Linked DNA regions of Drosophila melanogaster. The protein of the gene in region 2 interacts with the protein of the main gene of each other region in a pairwise test. Each region holds a gene or a part of one and is shown on either strand. Other genes may lie near its edges. The genes, in order: Tsp39D, CG12679, CG13700 and CG17377.

Evidence for each region.
Region 1: the proteins of CG12679 (region 2) and Tsp39D interact in a two-hybrid assay, tested with the Drosophila melanogaster proteins (one large-scale study listed by BioGRID).
Region 3: the proteins of CG12679 (region 2) and CG13700 interact in a two-hybrid assay, tested with the Drosophila melanogaster proteins (one large-scale study listed by BioGRID).
Region 4: the proteins of CG12679 (region 2) and CG17377 interact in a two-hybrid assay, tested with the Drosophila melanogaster proteins (one large-scale study listed by BioGRID).

What each region holds. Positions count from the first base shown.
Region 1 is NT_033779.5:21,342,794-21,347,665, forward strand, and holds the start of Tsp39D (tetraspanin 39D), read left to right. Parts: upstream 1-1,813; 5' UTR 1,814-1,943; intron 1,944-4,872.
Region 2 is NC_004354.4:20,375,241-20,378,478, forward strand, and holds CG12679 (uncharacterized protein), read right to left. Parts: upstream 1,283-3,238; 5' UTR 1,153-1,282; coding exon 580-1,152; 3' UTR 524-579; downstream 1-523.
Region 3 is NT_037436.4:18,298,209-18,302,934, reverse strand, and holds CG13700 (uncharacterized protein), read left to right. Parts: upstream 1-1,674; 5' UTR 1,675-1,801; coding exon 1,802-2,100; intron 2,101-2,160; coding exon 2,161-2,243; intron 2,244-2,315; coding exon 2,316-2,966; intron 2,967-3,019; coding exon 3,020-3,112; intron 3,113-3,166; coding exon 3,167-3,202; intron 3,203-3,284; coding exon 3,285-3,329; intron 3,330-3,423; coding exon 3,424-3,495; intron 3,496-3,545; coding exon 3,546-3,861; intron 3,862-3,921; coding exon 3,922-4,040; intron 4,041-4,090; coding exon 4,091-4,104; 3' UTR 4,105-4,193; downstream 4,194-4,726.
Region 4 is NT_033779.5:6,800,858-6,804,403, forward strand, and holds CG17377 (uncharacterized protein), read right to left. Parts: upstream 1,933-3,546; 5' UTR 1,851-1,932; intron 1,798-1,850; 5' UTR 1,781-1,797; coding exon 1,754-1,780; intron 1,691-1,753; coding exon 1,094-1,690; 3' UTR 996-1,093; coding exon of another isoform or gene 994-995; 3' UTR 851-993; exon of another isoform or gene 849-850; intron 794-848; coding exon of another isoform or gene 783-793; 3' UTR 521-782; downstream 1-520. Other genes in the region: Daao2 (D-amino acid oxidase 2), read left to right, coding at 2,195-2,397, 2,453-2,665, 2,735-3,031, 3,089-3,401.

The DNA.
Region 1 (4,872 bases), on a different chromosome or scaffold from region 2:
TAAATTATATGAGAAGCCTATTTTGAAGAGCATTTGCTTAGTACAAGTGAAGAAAAGTATATGAATATTTAAATAAGTAATGATAAAAATAACAAATTCATAATTATATGGAATCTGTAATATGTATACATAATATAATAATATAATATGTATACATTCTCACGTTTAAAGCAAAGATTATTTAATAAAGTAAAGAATAAACCGGAACTCCAACACTTTTGAAAAATTCTGTGATAATTCTTCATATTTTTATTAGTCTTGTAAATTACTATGGATTTGCCAAAAAACTTTTTGCCTCGCCTACTTCAACGTCCAAAGACCGCCCAAAACTGCCACACCTACACTTTTAAAATATTTTTAGAATTTTCCGTTTTATTATTTGTCTTGCCAAGTTTTATCGGTATACAAAACAATGTGGCCACGACCCTTCTTTCACCTACAAAACGAACAAAACTGTCACGCCAATAATTTTTAAATTTTTTCTCATTTTATTCACCAAAATCAATCGATATCCTGGAAAAATTATAAAATTTGGCGATCGAATTTCCACTAGCCGAGTAAAGGGTATCTGATGAGCGGGAAATCGAGTATAACATTTTCTCTTGTTTACATATATCCTTTTACACTTTTACCACTTTTCATCCCCAAGCATCAAATTTTTCAAAGTCCTGGTATGAATACAGAAAAAATCCTATGATATACTCTTTTAATGGGCAAAATGTATTTATAATATCATTAGGTTTTTAATTTAAAACCATTCAACAATGGTTCACTTCTATTTTACCCATTACTCGTAGAGTAAATGGGTATACAATATTGGTTGAAAAGTATGTAACAGGCAGAAGGAAGCGTTTCCGACTATATAATTTATATATATTCTTGATCAAGATCAAAAGCCGAGTTGATCTAGCCATGTCCGTGTTGCCACGCCCACAAGAATCACAAAATTTCCAAGCCCACGTGTAACGTGTAACGTGTAATATAACATAAACCGATTCCACCTTATTCTTGCCAAGAAGGTTGGTTTAAGGGCTAAATCAAAAGCAAAAGGAGAGCTAAAACACGGTGGAAATTTTTTAAAGCGTTGTTGAGTAGAGAACGTGCTAAGTTATATATATTTCATAAACCACCGCGAAAGCGAAGAGGATTTATCTAATGGGAGGAAGGTATATATATCATGTAAATGTTCCTGATTCTCTTTTCTTGATCGGAATCTCCAGACGACTCTATATGCCTATGTCCGACTGCATTCGTTTTCTTGGCATTTCATTTGATGTCATCAGGGACTTATGTATATGCAAAAATTGAATACAATCCTGTTTTAATTTTCACTACAAACATAGTTTTATGACAGTAATCGAATCTCCTTTTAGCTAAACTTAACATTGCTTCTTTTATAATCAATCTGGGTTATACAATTTTTATCTACGATTCGAATCCAGTCTACTTTAGTAAAAAATTATGGCAACTCCCGACTTCTGTATACTGCAGTATGGCAGCTCCCGAACTGTGTAGATGTTGGTATGGCAACTCAAAATCACCTGCAATTGCTACTGAACATTCATATTAAACATAATTACGAAAAGACCAACATTAAAATAGCGTTTGTATTCGGCAATACAAGATTTATTGCTGAGAGGGGAAAAAGCGGTTCTAGCATCAACACGTAATAAAAAGAAAATTAACCAAAATTGATTTTCTTGAAATAATGTTTCCAGCACCGGGATAAGATAACAAATAGTGGAGTCATTCAGCAATCGTTGATTGGCGTGAGGTATCGATGACCATGCGCTATCGATACCTCCGTTGGAATTATCACATCGTAGCTCTACTGTTTGTCAAGTCTCACTTGAAAACATCCATCGAAAGTGCTGTTGTTCTGATTAGAGCGCGGGTGCGAGTTAATCAAGCGAACCGTTGCGTCCTGGTCCTAAATTTGAAAGGTATAAATATTTGGGTGAAACCAATCAGCTGCAATAGATGATGCGGTCCCTTGCGCCATACAAATTGGTATTAGTATTGCCCTAGAGGAGTAATTGTGTGTATGTATGTTGGTGGGAGAGTGGAAAGTGGTTTAAGTGAGGGATGCGACCGAACAATATGCACTTCTCCCTGTGCTACCTGAGATCTAGAGTGTGGAGAGTGATTCTGTTGACTAGTTTGCGTGCTTGCGGCAAGCAGGAGCTGCGGTCCGGTGTGATACATGCCTCGCGAAGTTGCTCCAAGTCGTAGTGGATGGTGCTCCAGGTGCTGGGATGCGCCTAATTGGAGATACACAAACGGTCAGTCAAAAGCTCGTGAAGTGTGGGTAATGCCTATATATATCCGCCACCCGCCTACAAGCGGGTTCCGGAAGTAGGCGACGGCACGCAACCATCAACCAGAAGCATCATTATGCACACATGCAGCTGGACATGGGGAAATCCTCTCAATAAAGCCGCTAGGCGGACATTGATTCATATGTTAATACACGTGTATGAATATGACAATTGGTGAGAGCGGGAACCACCAGTTACGCACAGTGGCCAGATCGCACTAGCGCACTATTCGTCAAGGAGTCAGGATTTGGTTGTCGTCTCAAATAAATAGCTAACTTTGTTAGAGATAAATGGTTAGGTTTAATCAAACTAATCGTTTAATTTCAAGGTAACATAAACTCATATTTTGCTTAAACTAAAAACGGTTTAATATAAATAAGTCTGACAGGACCGTAAAACTGCTCTCCAAATTCGGTCGTCTGGTACCTGGGCGCAAATCAATTAAGGAACTATTAACTCAGCAATGGGAACACTACCAAACACTGTACAATGTAGTAGCAATATTAAATATAATAATATAATAATAAACATGGATGCTTGCTTCTGCAAGCTAAAGTATTTAAAAAGTATTAGAAATGGTCGGTAATCGTAGAGTAAGAATTCACTTAAAAGGATGTTACAGGTAGAAGAACGCTTTTTCCACCTTATAAAGTATTTCTGTATGTATTAACACTTAACACATACGTATATCCAAACTGGTTTATTACGCAGTACTAAGAAATATACGGCTGACGTGTGTATTTTACCCTACATTGTCATCCGTGTGGCAGGTGTAGCCACTTTTTACGCAGCTGACACTATTTCTAAGCTATCGATTTTGTCTTCTATTCCTTTCCCATTGCTTTGAATGCCGATACTTGGCCTATTGCTGGTGGTGGGGTGGCACTAATAATTTAAAAACCGACCTATTTCAGTGCAGAGTTCAAACTCATTCAAACTACACAACTATTACAGCAAGCGCAATATACATACATATGTATGTATGTACATATGTATTCCTGTCCTTCCTAGTTTTCGTTCTCCATGTCCGTCCGTATGAAGGTGGAGATCTGAGGAACTATAAAACCTACAATATTGAGATTAAGCATATAGATTTCAGAGGCATAGTTTGTTTACTCATGTTGCTACGCCCACAAACCCTGCCAAAGCTGCCACGCCCACACCATTGGAAAATGTGTTGATATTTATATATCCGTTACTCGTAGAGTCAAAGGTTATGATCAGGATCAATAGCCGAGTCTATATGTCCCTGTCTGTCTGCTCGAATGTCTATGCGTCCATATGAACGCCGAGATCTCAAAAACTATAAAAGCTAGAAGGTTGAGATTAAGCATAAAGATTCTAGAGACATAGGCGCAGTGCAAGTTTATTTCAAATCACCCAAAACCGGTACGCCCACTGTTTGTTTTGATATATTTTCCTATTTTTATACCCGTTACTCAGATTAAAAGGTGATACTAGATTCGTTGAAAAGTGTTTCCGACCAAATCAAGTATATATATCCTTGATCAGGATCCATAGCCGAGTCAATCTGGACATGAAAGTCGAGACCTCAGGAACTATAAAAGCTAAAAGGCATACAGATTCTAGAAACATAGACGGAGCGCAAGTTTGACCCATGTTGCCACACTCACTCTAACGCCACGCCTACACTTTTGAAAAATGTGTTGATATTTGTTCACATATGTATTAGTCTTGTAAATTTTATCGATTTTGCCAAAAACGTTTTTGCCACGCCCACTCAAACCGCACAACCGGTCACGCCCACACTTTTGAACAATTTTTAAATTTTTTTTCATTTTATTTCCCAATATCTCTTGATATCCCAAAATAAATGATACTTTCGCGTTCTCATTCACACTAGCTGAGTAACGGGTATCTGATAGTCGGGGAACTCGACTATTCTCGCATTCTCTCTTGTTAGTTTTGTAAATTTCTGTCGATTTGATAAAAAACTTTTTGCAATGCCCACTCTAACGCACAAAACCCGCCGAATCCTGTCGCGAACCCACTTTTGGAAAATATTTCGATCTTTTTTCATATTTTTAATAGTCTTTTCTTTCCAAATTCTATCGATATGCCAACAAGGATGTTAAATGCTTAAGCTGAGTAACGGGTATCTGATATTCGAGGAACTCGTTCATTCTTGCTTTTTAAATTCATTTAACAGTTTTTTAATGCAAAATTTGTTTAAATTAATGTATTTTGTATATACTCGTAATAGTTGACATTGTAAAGGTTCGGTAAAGTTGTACATTGAAATAACTCCGGAAAAAAGTTTTTAAAACTTCTTCAATACAGGAAATCCATATCGTTAGCCGGGAATAGCTTACACATACAGAATAACATACAGGAATAATGAAAAGACCGGTGTGTTTGAATCTTGTTCTATGATTATCACTTTAACAGAGTACGGATAAAAATGAATACTAAACGTATACGAGCTTAAATAGCGTTAGGCAGTTGGTTTATTTTTCTTCGCGTCTTATAGCATGTAGTATGTGCATATATCGAGGGTACACTGTACCTATAAGTACACAGCAACACTTAGTTG
Region 2 (3,238 bases):
ACCGCCCCAAGGAAGCGGGCCACACCACCCCGCTTCCGTGGCCTTGCCTTGCCTTGCCTTGCTTATGCAATTTGGTATGTGTTTCCCAAGAAACCTTTGTTGCATTATTGCCGCAATTTGCTGAAGTGGTGACGTGAGAGCCATCACAGTGCTGCGTCCACGAATATTGCCCCGTCCCTTTCCTTCTCTGCCCTCCTGAGTCCCTCGTCCTGAGACCCCAGTCCTTCGTCCCTCGTCCGTCGTCCGTCGTCCTTCGGCCCTTGAACCGCGTCTTTTTCGCGCTGCCCCTTCAGCCAGACAGCGAACAAATAACAACTAAGTTGGCAATTTGAAGTCGCGCGAGTGAGTGAGGCTAGTTAGCCGCAGCACACCGAAGTCTGTATACCCTTGACATGGTTTATGGCTTATATAGTAGTGCTATATTGCTTATTCCTTTCTCATTGTAGATTTGTAATTCATATCCCCAAACTACAAATCCCTAGTGCCTTGTATTCAATGATAGTTGGCTCAACCAATTTCAAATGCTGATTCATCATCTTGGCTTTATTTCGCGAACCGATCAAATTTAAGTTTTAGCAATTAGCCCTCAGTGAGTGCGTAGGTCATAAGGGCCAGGATGCCGGTGTTTCCCAGAGTCTCTACAACGTTGCTAAGGCCCTCGTTGCAGCTATCGACAATTGCACCGCCGTATCTGGCGAGGAGCGCGGTGGCAGCCACACCGAAGTAGATATGGTTGCCGTCCTTGATGGCCAGATACAACGTGGAGCCGATGTTGCCCAACAGAGCGAGGTCCATCAGCGTCTCCGTGGAGCTGTCCCAGTCCTCGCTGATCTTGCCGATCATGTCGTAGAACAGTGGAATCAACGACAGGCCGTGCACCAGCGCCACTCCCGACTGATCGGATACCAGGTAGAACTCGATGTTCGCCAGTGGCAGCGGGATAACCTCCAGTATGATGGCTGAGATCATAAAGGTGCGTCCGCACTCGTCGGGCTCGTTGGCAAAGGAGCGAACCACGCCCAGCACTCCGTGGACCAGGCTGAAGGATGCCGCCAGGAAGGCATACGGATGGTCCGCCGGGGTCAGTGAGGTCATCGTGTAAATGCAGGCCAAGATCAGCAGCAGATTGACCAGTGCCCCCACCACATGCATTTTCGGCGCTTCTCTTCGTTCCTTCGAGAATTCTATCGATTCTGTCAGTCTGGTATCACGATATGCGATTTCACTTATTTGTTACGAACACAGGAACTAAAAATTTTGAAAGTTGCTACCTTGAGACTGGGGTCTGGAATGACTGAATCCAAATGACTCCCACTGGCAGAACATTGAAGACCGAGTCCAGGCCAACTCTGTTTAATCGATTTATCAACTCAGTTTTGCTAGATAAATGTTTTGAGATTTAAAATGGCCATATCATAAGCAATACACAAATGTATCGGGTTCTCGTTCTTATTCAAATACTTATACCTTTTACCTTTTACGACATACAACATGAGAATTAAAATGGCTACAAGGACTAACAATCCTCATTATGAAGTATGCTTGCATACCCTTCCTTCGTTGCAATCATTCGTTGTCTAATCCAAACCCACTTCAAATCCCGAAGTTCCTGAACCAAATATAACCAATAACCAAGCCAGTGCAGCCAGTATGCCAAGGGGACAAAGGCTGCTCATCGCCAAAGTGGCTAACGTTGGCCACCTCAGATTACGACCAGGGATGGATGTCGGCAGGGTCACTGAGTCACTCCCGGCTGAGTGGTTAGGGAGGCAGCATCAGAACATCGATCACAACACCTGAACGAACGCAGTATATAAATAACCAATCTGGATTTTGATCCGCACAAAGGACGGGAGTGGTAACCCCCAAAATCCCGAGCGCCCTTTTCGGGGCTCCAACGCTTCAATAAAACTGCAAAGTGCCAATTACAAAAATAACAAGTTAGCCCCAAAACTTATGTTGGCTTTCCGACTTGCCGTTGTTTCTTTTGCTTTTTTCCTTTATTTGCCCCGATGCATTATTAAGTTTATACCAAGAAATTTCCCGCACTGCATTGGACGTGTGTGTGTGGTTGTGTGTGTGTGAGAGAGAGTGGCATTTAGCTGGCAAGGACATTTTCATGGTTTTCCAGTCAGAGAACTGCAAGGGTGGCACTTTTTTACCACTCGACTCACACCCTACAATTTTGTGTGCGGGTGCTACTCGCCACGCACATCGCGGGTACTTACAAACACACAGTATAAATCTGAACATGCAGACAAGACACCCCGTTGTGTGCGCACCCGAATCAATACGGTGTTTTGCGTCGCGGGTGCCGCTCACACAGTGCCTAAAAAGGGATGAGTGAGAAAAACACTTGTGGGTATACCGTTAAACACATGGGTGTTTCCAAAAATACTCGGGTGTTTCCAAAAATACTCGAGTGGTCTCGTAGGTAGTCGAGTCAAATGGCGCCATACATAATGATTGTTGAGTTCTTGTGTCTTTGGTCCAGTGTCTCGGCTGTTAATTGCCCCTTTTTTGTTTTTTACGATGCAATTACTAGCTTGTTAGGATTCAGTATTATTTGGAAGCCAAAGGAAAAGGTCACAATAATGGCAGAAGCGGCTGATTTCGTTAAAAATAAAATTAACAATGGAACATACTCAGTTGCCAATAAACATAAAGGAAAAAGTGTTATTTGGAGCATTTTATGTGACATTTTAAAGGAAGATGAAACTGTTCTGGACGGATGGCTGTTCTGCAGGCAATGCCAGAAAGTGCTCAAATTTTTACACAAAAACACCTCCAATTTATCCCGCCATAAATGTTGTCTAACATTAAGACGACCAACGGAATTAAAAATTGTTTCGGAAAACGACAAGAAAGTAGCTATTGAAAAATGCACCCAATGGGTTGTCCAAGATTGTCGGCCGTTTTCTGCAGTAACCGGAGCCGGATTTAAAAATTTGGTGAAGTTTTTCCTACAAATCGGCGCTATCTATGGGGAACAGGTAGACGTCGATGACTTACTACCTGATCCAACAACATTAAGTCCTTATATTTAATAGATACTTTTTAAGCCCACTATGTTTTTATTATTTAGATTGAGACATTAAAAAACGTAAAAATCAACAAATGCCGTCTTTAATTGCAATTACTTTATGTGTTTGAAATGGGAGGCACCCATTGAGTCCATCAAAGAGCAAAGACATGAGCACAAAAATTTTCTTGGGTATTCCCTTTTACCCTTCATTTC
Region 3 (4,726 bases), on a different chromosome or scaffold from region 2:
CAATTTTGATACGAATAATCAAGAATAACAAAATTTGAAATGTATCTTATCATTATTATTGATTTTAGCAAAATTCAAAACATATTATTTTAATTTTGGCATTGCAAATTAAACAAGAAATATTGAAATTAATCACATGTAAAGATAGCATTTGTAAGAAATTAAAATTTTTATAAGACAAACAAGCAAAAAATAAATACAATTTTATAAAAAATTAAAAAATACTTTGAACGATTATTATTGTCCCTTTTCAGAAAAACATAAAGAATTTTACCAACACCATTGCCGAGATATATATATTTAATTACCTTTTATTTCGGAGGTGTAGAACTCTATTAAAATGTTTTTGAAAAATTATTCGAAGCGTTTTTAAAATATTTTAAAAATAAACTAAAACGTTTTTAAAATAAATTCAAAAGAATATTTATTTGTTTCACCAAAGTTTTTATAAAAAAATACGTCAAAATAATATGAAATTTTGTTTAATACACTCTTTTAATAACCGCTTATGAATTAAGCCTTTGTATTCCATTTTGGGCAATGAAATGGCAAAGGATAACCGTCCTGCCAGGAAAAGGCGGAGTAAGCAAACATTTAGCGATCGCTATCGTCAAAACCAATATGTCACCTTAAAAGGGAAAACACATTTTTGGTTAAGGGCAGACAGAGAATTTTCCCGTCGTGTCATGCCAGGCACACTCCACCCAAAAGGGTTAAAAAGCAAAGGTGACGCTTAACCGCAGATCCCAGTTTGTGCCACCAATGTCCAAGTCATCGGGCTCGGGGTCAAAGGGAAAAAGAGGAAAAGGGCAAAGGGGGTGTACCCTTTAGCAAGCCCGGAAACCCATTTAACCCCAGAAGTGGAAAAAGTGTAACATCTGTGGCAGCAAGCGATCAGCGGCGCCTGATAAGTTCGCCAGTCAAATAATAATTATGCAAACATTTCGGGCCGCTAATTTGCCGCCTATCTTAATTTAAATCGCTCAAAAGCGCACTGGAACCAGCGCACAAGAAATTGTTTAATTGTCGTGACATGACAATAAGCGACCTGGAAATTAGGGTCCTTCGCTATCCTTTTTTTTCGCGTGTGGCTTGATTTTTGGCGATGATAAGCAAGGGGGAAATTATAGGGTATGCAAATGCTCGCATAGTGTCAGTCGCGTGTCCTGGATCAAGTTTTCATTCGGGTTCGTTTTCCACTCAAATTCCTTCTTAGCGCCTGCAATTATGCTCGGCGGAGAGACAGTTTATGATAACATATTTGTAGTTAATTTAGTTAAATTAGTGCCACATATGTTAAACTGATCTGAGATAGCCAGGTGGGAGCTGCAAATGGGTGAAAATTCCATCGAGTCACAGGTTGCTGGCAAACTGCTTTCGATTGGGTCCACACTCAAATATTTCAATAGTTAAAACCACGGGTAATAGACATTTAAAAAGAAAAAAGAAAGCAATATAAAAGCAAATAAGTGTAATCTAGTTAACTTAAATACATATAGTCAAGTCATCTAAATATGCTGTTTCCCTTTTGTATTGCAGACTGGATAGATAGAGCTTCAAAAAATTGTTCGGTGTTCTTTTTTAATTAAACCTTAAAACGTTTATTTCAGTTGATTTTGAGAAAGTTGTTCTATAAAAGCATAAACAAAGTATTCAATGAGAAGAGTGTAAATAAACTTTAAGAAATTATTATTATTCCTTAAGGGAAGCAAAATTCCAAAGCATTTACTTAGGCATGAGCTAGATACCTTAGTGGTGTCATACCGCAAAGCTCGACCAGGATATCCATCTTATAATCATAATGAACACTTCGGATAAGAATGACAATGATAATGATTCCTTGGGCGACGAGCAGGATCAGGAAGTCCGCCAAATACTAGATTCAATCGAAAGCTTCGATGACGTCTGCAAAACTTTCAAGTCGAAAAGTGTTCAAGAATTAAACGCTCAAAAGACAAGTGAAGTTCCCAAATCTGACCAGGAAAAGGTTCACACGTCATCGTCGAAATACAATTCTACTCCCCAGACAGAAAAACTTACTTCTGAGGCAGATCCAGATAGCGAATACACACGTTTTCTGAAGCAAATGAGCGTTCGTTAGTAAGTTAAGTTATTTTAACAATAATTTTAATTTAATTTTCTTACTCATATGCATCTTAGCTCAGAGTTTCGCATTGCCTCGGGTCAAGTAGTTCAACAAAAGGGTCAGACAATGGACTACCGAGACTATAACTATAGCGAATGTAAATATTGAGTTTCTAATTTCTAAAATATTTTTGGAAATTTATTGATCTTTTTATTTCCTGCTATTGTAGATCCAGTATGTCAACCTTCTTGTAGCTGGCAATCCTTTAACCCAATGACTCAGGACTCGACATCTGGACAAAGAGAGATGGAATCGTCATCATCTAGTTCGCCCGGGCAGATGTGCCAAAATCAATACGGCTATGGTCAATCTCTTCCGGAAGCCGGATCAAGATCGGACGAGACCATTGTCAACGATCCCAGTACTACCAGTTCAGCTCCATGTGAGAGTGAGAGTCCTTGCTGCTCCAAAGAGACTTGTGGCTGTTGCTGTGATATCGCTTCTAGTCAGCAATCTGGATGCTCCCAATGGGATCAGACTTATCCTGGCCAGCAACAGCACATTTTTCCTGTTCCAATGGGTGTGGATCCGAGTACCGGGTTTCCCATCTACTGCTACTCTACCCCACTAAATTATCAAGGCAATGCTATGTACTCAATGCCAGGCATGCAAATGGATGAAAGTCAAAGGGGAGGCGGTGGCCAGAACAACCGGGAAACTGGTACGAAATGTCAAACTTCATCAGAATCTTCAGAGGAAAATTGTCATTCAAATGGGGATAGTGCTTCATTTCATCAAAGTCCTAACAATTTGGACATGGAGGCCTTTATGCAAAAGTACCAGAAGAGTGTTCAGCAATGCTATGCCACTGCACAACAAGGTAAGCATGATAAATAAGCAACCGTGGATGCAATGTAATATGCCGAATTTTAGGAATTCAACAATCATTTGCTAATGCTCAGAGTCAGCCGTATTTCAATAACTTTGCGCAGGGAACTCAACAGTTTTATAACAATGGTACTGAGGGTAAACATGAATTCGTAATCCTAAAACAATTTGACCACATTTTCATCATTTAAGCAGGTACGCGTTCAATGTTTGCCGGATGCAATCAAGGTAAGTTTTAGCACTCAGTAATTAACTCTTCATCTTATTTTAATAATATCCAACTGTTTTAAAATATATTAATTATTTTAAGCCATTCAAATAGGTATGCATGAAATGTTAGGCAGCCCCAATCAAGGTATGCTTAATTAAATTATTCACTTTCATAAATGTCCTAATGACATTCTATCGTTTTAACTATTGAATTATTTCCGAAAACCAACATCTCTCAGATTGTCAAGGCATGCAACAGGCTTTCAGTTCTTCTTTCGGTGCTCAACAATATTGTAGCAATGATGGTCTAGGTACTTACTTAGCATACCAAATTTTCAAATGGTTACCGATTTTCGTTTAGGTGCTCAACAAATCTTTTCCTCATTGATGGGAATGCCTTCCCCTAACTGGTTTGCCAGTAACACTGGATTTATGAGCGACTCTCTGCAGAACCACACAGTATACTCCTCAGACTACAAACCCTTTTCCAACGATGGCAACCACTTTAACCACTTCCCCAATGGGGGCATGGACATGGGCTTGGCCACCGAACCCTGTAACATCTACGGTCCAGCTGGATCCCCTGGCCTGGTTGAGATGGGCAACGGTGGTCAGGTCTATGGCATGGGTGGTGCCTGCGACATGAATATGAGCGCTTACCCTCTCAGTCAAATGAGGTAAGAAATATTCAAAATACTAAACCATGCAATATAACTATTTGTTTTTACCTGCGTCAGTTATTCAAGTCCCTATTCCTACGATATGCCTTGTTCCACACTTAACTATAATCCAGCATCAGGTATTCCTATGGCTACTCCTCAAATGCAAGCTAGTCATATAAGTAGTGGAAATCCAGGTTTGTAACGAATAATTGTTGTATGTTTTTACAATATTCGCGATCAACAGTGCAACAGGGCTGAATCGGAAGGAACCCCGAGAGTGAGATGGTGGAATTGATACAATAATTATATATATTATATTATAATACTCTTAAACAATAAAGGCAACCAAAAAAAGAAATATAACAACTTCCTTTTCAATTTATAATCTTAGAAAACAATGTTGAGTTAATAAAAGTTAATAAAACTTAAAATAAGTTCAAGAACAAGGTATTGATCATTACTTAAAACGTTTCATTACTATGACTGCTGAAGATGAAGACTTTGTCGAGCAAGTTTCTCAATAGAACTTTTTTGCAGTCCAGCAATGGTAATGACTCACAGTAGGAATGTTCCACCTTCCCAGATCCTGAACTTCGCATGGCATGCACTTTAAGTCAAAGCTAATTACAGTGAGCTGGTCTATTGATTTTAGCAGTAAAGTACACTAACCCGTGAGGGAACCCTCGCATTGGACAAACAAACGGGCGACATCAGTGACCCAGTTTCGTGCAAAAACCAAGTCGGAAATGTGGCAAGCTGAAAAAGGGCCAGGCAAACAACGCCCCCAAATGCGAAAGGCCTGTATGTGGAGCGAAAGTGAAACGCAATATGGCCACAAACGACCACATTCGTTTAAGAGGGGATAGGAGTATCTGTGACT
Region 4 (3,546 bases), on a different chromosome or scaffold from region 2:
TCCCTTGGCCCAGCACATCCAGTTCAAGTTTCGGTTCGGGTTGGCTTAAAAGTCATGGCCAACTTTATGAAATTTCATGGCCTACTTCGACTTAGCAAAGATTATGAAATCGCCACAGATCTACATAATTATATATCTATATTTGCCTTATTCACTAAAACAAAATATTTGACCCGCGAATTGTTTAGGTCAACTAACTCACTAAGATTGGAACATGGCTCTCCCAGCTCGAAAAAATGGGTTTAAAACAAAGTACTATCAGCAAAGTTCAACTTTTAATTAATTAAATCTTAAATGCCACGGAAACCCACCCTAATAAAATTGATATTAATTAATATAAATATCAGAATATCTGTGGGACATATGAACGTAAATTTTTATGGCCTTGGCATAAGGTTTCAACCTTAATTTACAATTCTAATGCCAGGCTTAAAATATAAATATTCGAAGCATAAGTGCAGCCATAAAATAAACGCAACCTTTAACACCCCCCATAATACACAGAATATAATTTCAATTTGTTTATTTGTAATTTAATGCCAAATAGATTCCAGATACCAACATATGATTTTGTGTTTAAATCAAGACCGTCTGACGAATTGCACATGGGTTCCCAAATAGCTTCGAGCCCTTCTAGTAATGGGTATTCCGCAGCTGGCTAAATCTTGATTTAAGCCAACTTCAATTTTTTATCAACCAAAACTACGTCACAAAACGACAACATGTCCCGCCAAGGAAGTGGCCCATATCAGGATCCGATCGAAACACTTGCCAGGAAATACTTATAAGCCACCTGTGGGATGAGAAAGGTAAAACCAGTGAATGCAGAAGGTATCGCAGTTACTTACACGCGACAGGATGCGGATGGAGGTCAAAGGGTCATGAAGGATTTGGGGCCTGGCAACAGCATTTGGTCCATGGATCCTACCTCTACGCTCACAAAGCCCAGGACATGCTATCATTGTTGACGGATCAGCGTAGTGGGCATAAAGCTCCTGCAAAAGGACATGAAGCGTCACCACAAGCACATGTTCCAGATGCTGTGACCTGCAAAGTCCTTGGGCATGCCTCGTGCTCCTCCGCTCCATGGTTTTTACGTTCTACGGACGCCCAGCGCCGTGACAGATGGACAAGCAGACGGACAGACAGGCGGACAGGTGGACGGACCTGGACCGGACTTACATGGGTACGTCACAGGTGCGTTATAGTAGTTCCAGACACGCGGATCGGGAATGCCGCCTTCAGGCAGCGGAGGGCAGCACATGCCCGGAGCAGAGGAGCAAGGAATGGGCGACGGAGCTCCGCATGGAGGACTGTGCGGGCCACAGCATGGAAGACTGTGCGAGCCACAGCATGGAGGACTGTGCGGGCCACAGCAGGGCGATACATTACAGCAGCAGGGACCGCATCCACAGCAGCCGCCGGCAACGCGTCCACCGCATCCGGCACCGCCATTTGGTGCTCCAGTGGCGGCACAGCGCATACGCTTATTGTTCACGCCCATCATCATGTTAGCGTAGCGCAGCGGGAATGCCGCCGGACCGCAGGTGGGGAAGGGGAAGCACAGGCAGGCCGGTCGGCCCTGGCAGGCGGACCGCGGGCACTTGTCCTGCAGACCGTTCCGCTTCACGCAGTCGCAAGTGGTGTACATGATGCCGCATCGTAACTCCCGACTGCGGCATCCGCGCGGCTGGAAAGGATGCATACATAGTGGTCACAAGTGGTCAGTGGTGTGTTGCATATGGTTACTCACCTCCAACGATCCACATCCGTCACACATCTTGAGCCCGTCGAGCGCTACAGGACAAAGGATTTAAAAATATACTATGGTCTTCCCGGGATAAACTTACTCTATTTGGTCAAATTAATTTGGAAGAAAAATTTGGAATTTGGAAAATTTAGAAGCTGGCCGAAACGAAAGGTCCGAGAGTTTGGTATCGAATGAGGAATGATCAACACATCCCAACACACATATTCGGTTCCGTTTGAGATGAAATGCAAGGCCAACTTGTTGGAATTATAGCCTACTAGATTTTAAGAAAGAGTTAATATTAGATTCAAAATGCAAAAAGCTTTTTCGCTCTTTTTAAAAGCTCTGTTATCAGCTAATTGTATTATGCGATTTGCTTACAATTCTGATAAGCGATCCTCTTTTCAGTTCATTCCAAGTTCCCAAGCTGATCGGATTGGAGCAATGCCTAACATTGCAGTTATCGGTGCCGGGGTTAATGGTGTTGCCAGTGCCATTAAGATACTGGAACACTATGTGAACGATGGAAAGACACCCATAAAGGTGACGATCATATCGGAGGACTTCACGCCTAACACAACTGGAGATGGTTCGGCTGGTCTCTGGGGTCCGTACCTTCTGGGCGGCACTTCGCAGGCGAAAGTCTAGTAAGTTTTACTAGTCACTATATTATATTCTTACTTATAACTTTTTTTCCATCAGCAAGTGGTCGAAGAGCATGCACCAATTTTTGGAGAAGATCTGGCTGAGCGAGGATGCCGGAGAGGCTGGCGTTTGTCTGCTACCCTGCATTCGGCTGAGCACCTCAACGGTGGACACGGTCGAAGATTTTTGGCGTGACATTGTCTATGGAGCAGTGGATCTGTCCAAGGAACAGCTGGCTGCCTACAATAAAGGTCGCAGCGTTAAGTTCACGTAAGAATATTCATAGATATCCATAGATTTATACTTGCTGAAATATGAACATATCTAAACCATATCTAGGTCTGGTTTATCCTTTGTTACCTACACCTCGGAGCCCATTAAGCTACTGCCGTATTTGATGAAGCGTTTCACCCGAAATGGAGGTGTTGTTGTCCGGAAAAGGATTACAGACCTGGATGCATTTGTAGCCGATTCCGAGTACGATGTGATAGTCAATTGCTCCGGATTGGGCTCTAAGACCCTACTAAACGACGATCAAATGTACGCAGTGCGTGGCCAAGTTTCCCGGGTGAGGGCCAACTGGATTTTCTCTGCCGTGCTGGACGAGAGTGATGATGGCAACTATATTATACCCAAGTGAGTATTTGCCAGTTACACTTATTTGTTCGTATTCCAATATCTGAAATATTTAAGCACCGAAAGTGTTGTCCTGGGCGGAACCCATCAGGAGCGGGACTACAACACTAAAGTCTGCCAGAACGACAGGCGGATGATCGTCGATGGCTGTCAGCGGTACATTCCTGGTTTGGAGCACACGGAGTGCCTCTTTGATTGGGTAGGTCTCCGGCCGGGTCGCACCCAACTCCGACTGGAAGCCGAGCGCCGCGGCCGCAAGCTCCTCATCCACAACTATGGACATGGCGGCAGTGGAGTCACTTTGTGCTGGGGCTGTGCCGACGATGTCCTCAATATCCTGTTGGCCGCCAAGAACGGTTCCAAATTATAAGTCAGTTGGAAAGATTATTATTTTAGTTCTATAACAAAATTGGTAGTGTAAAGGTAACAGCATTTAAAAGCATCTCTTTATCTACATAATAAACATTTTAATATATTTCATTACACTTAGCAATTTCTATATGGAAAATGTTATA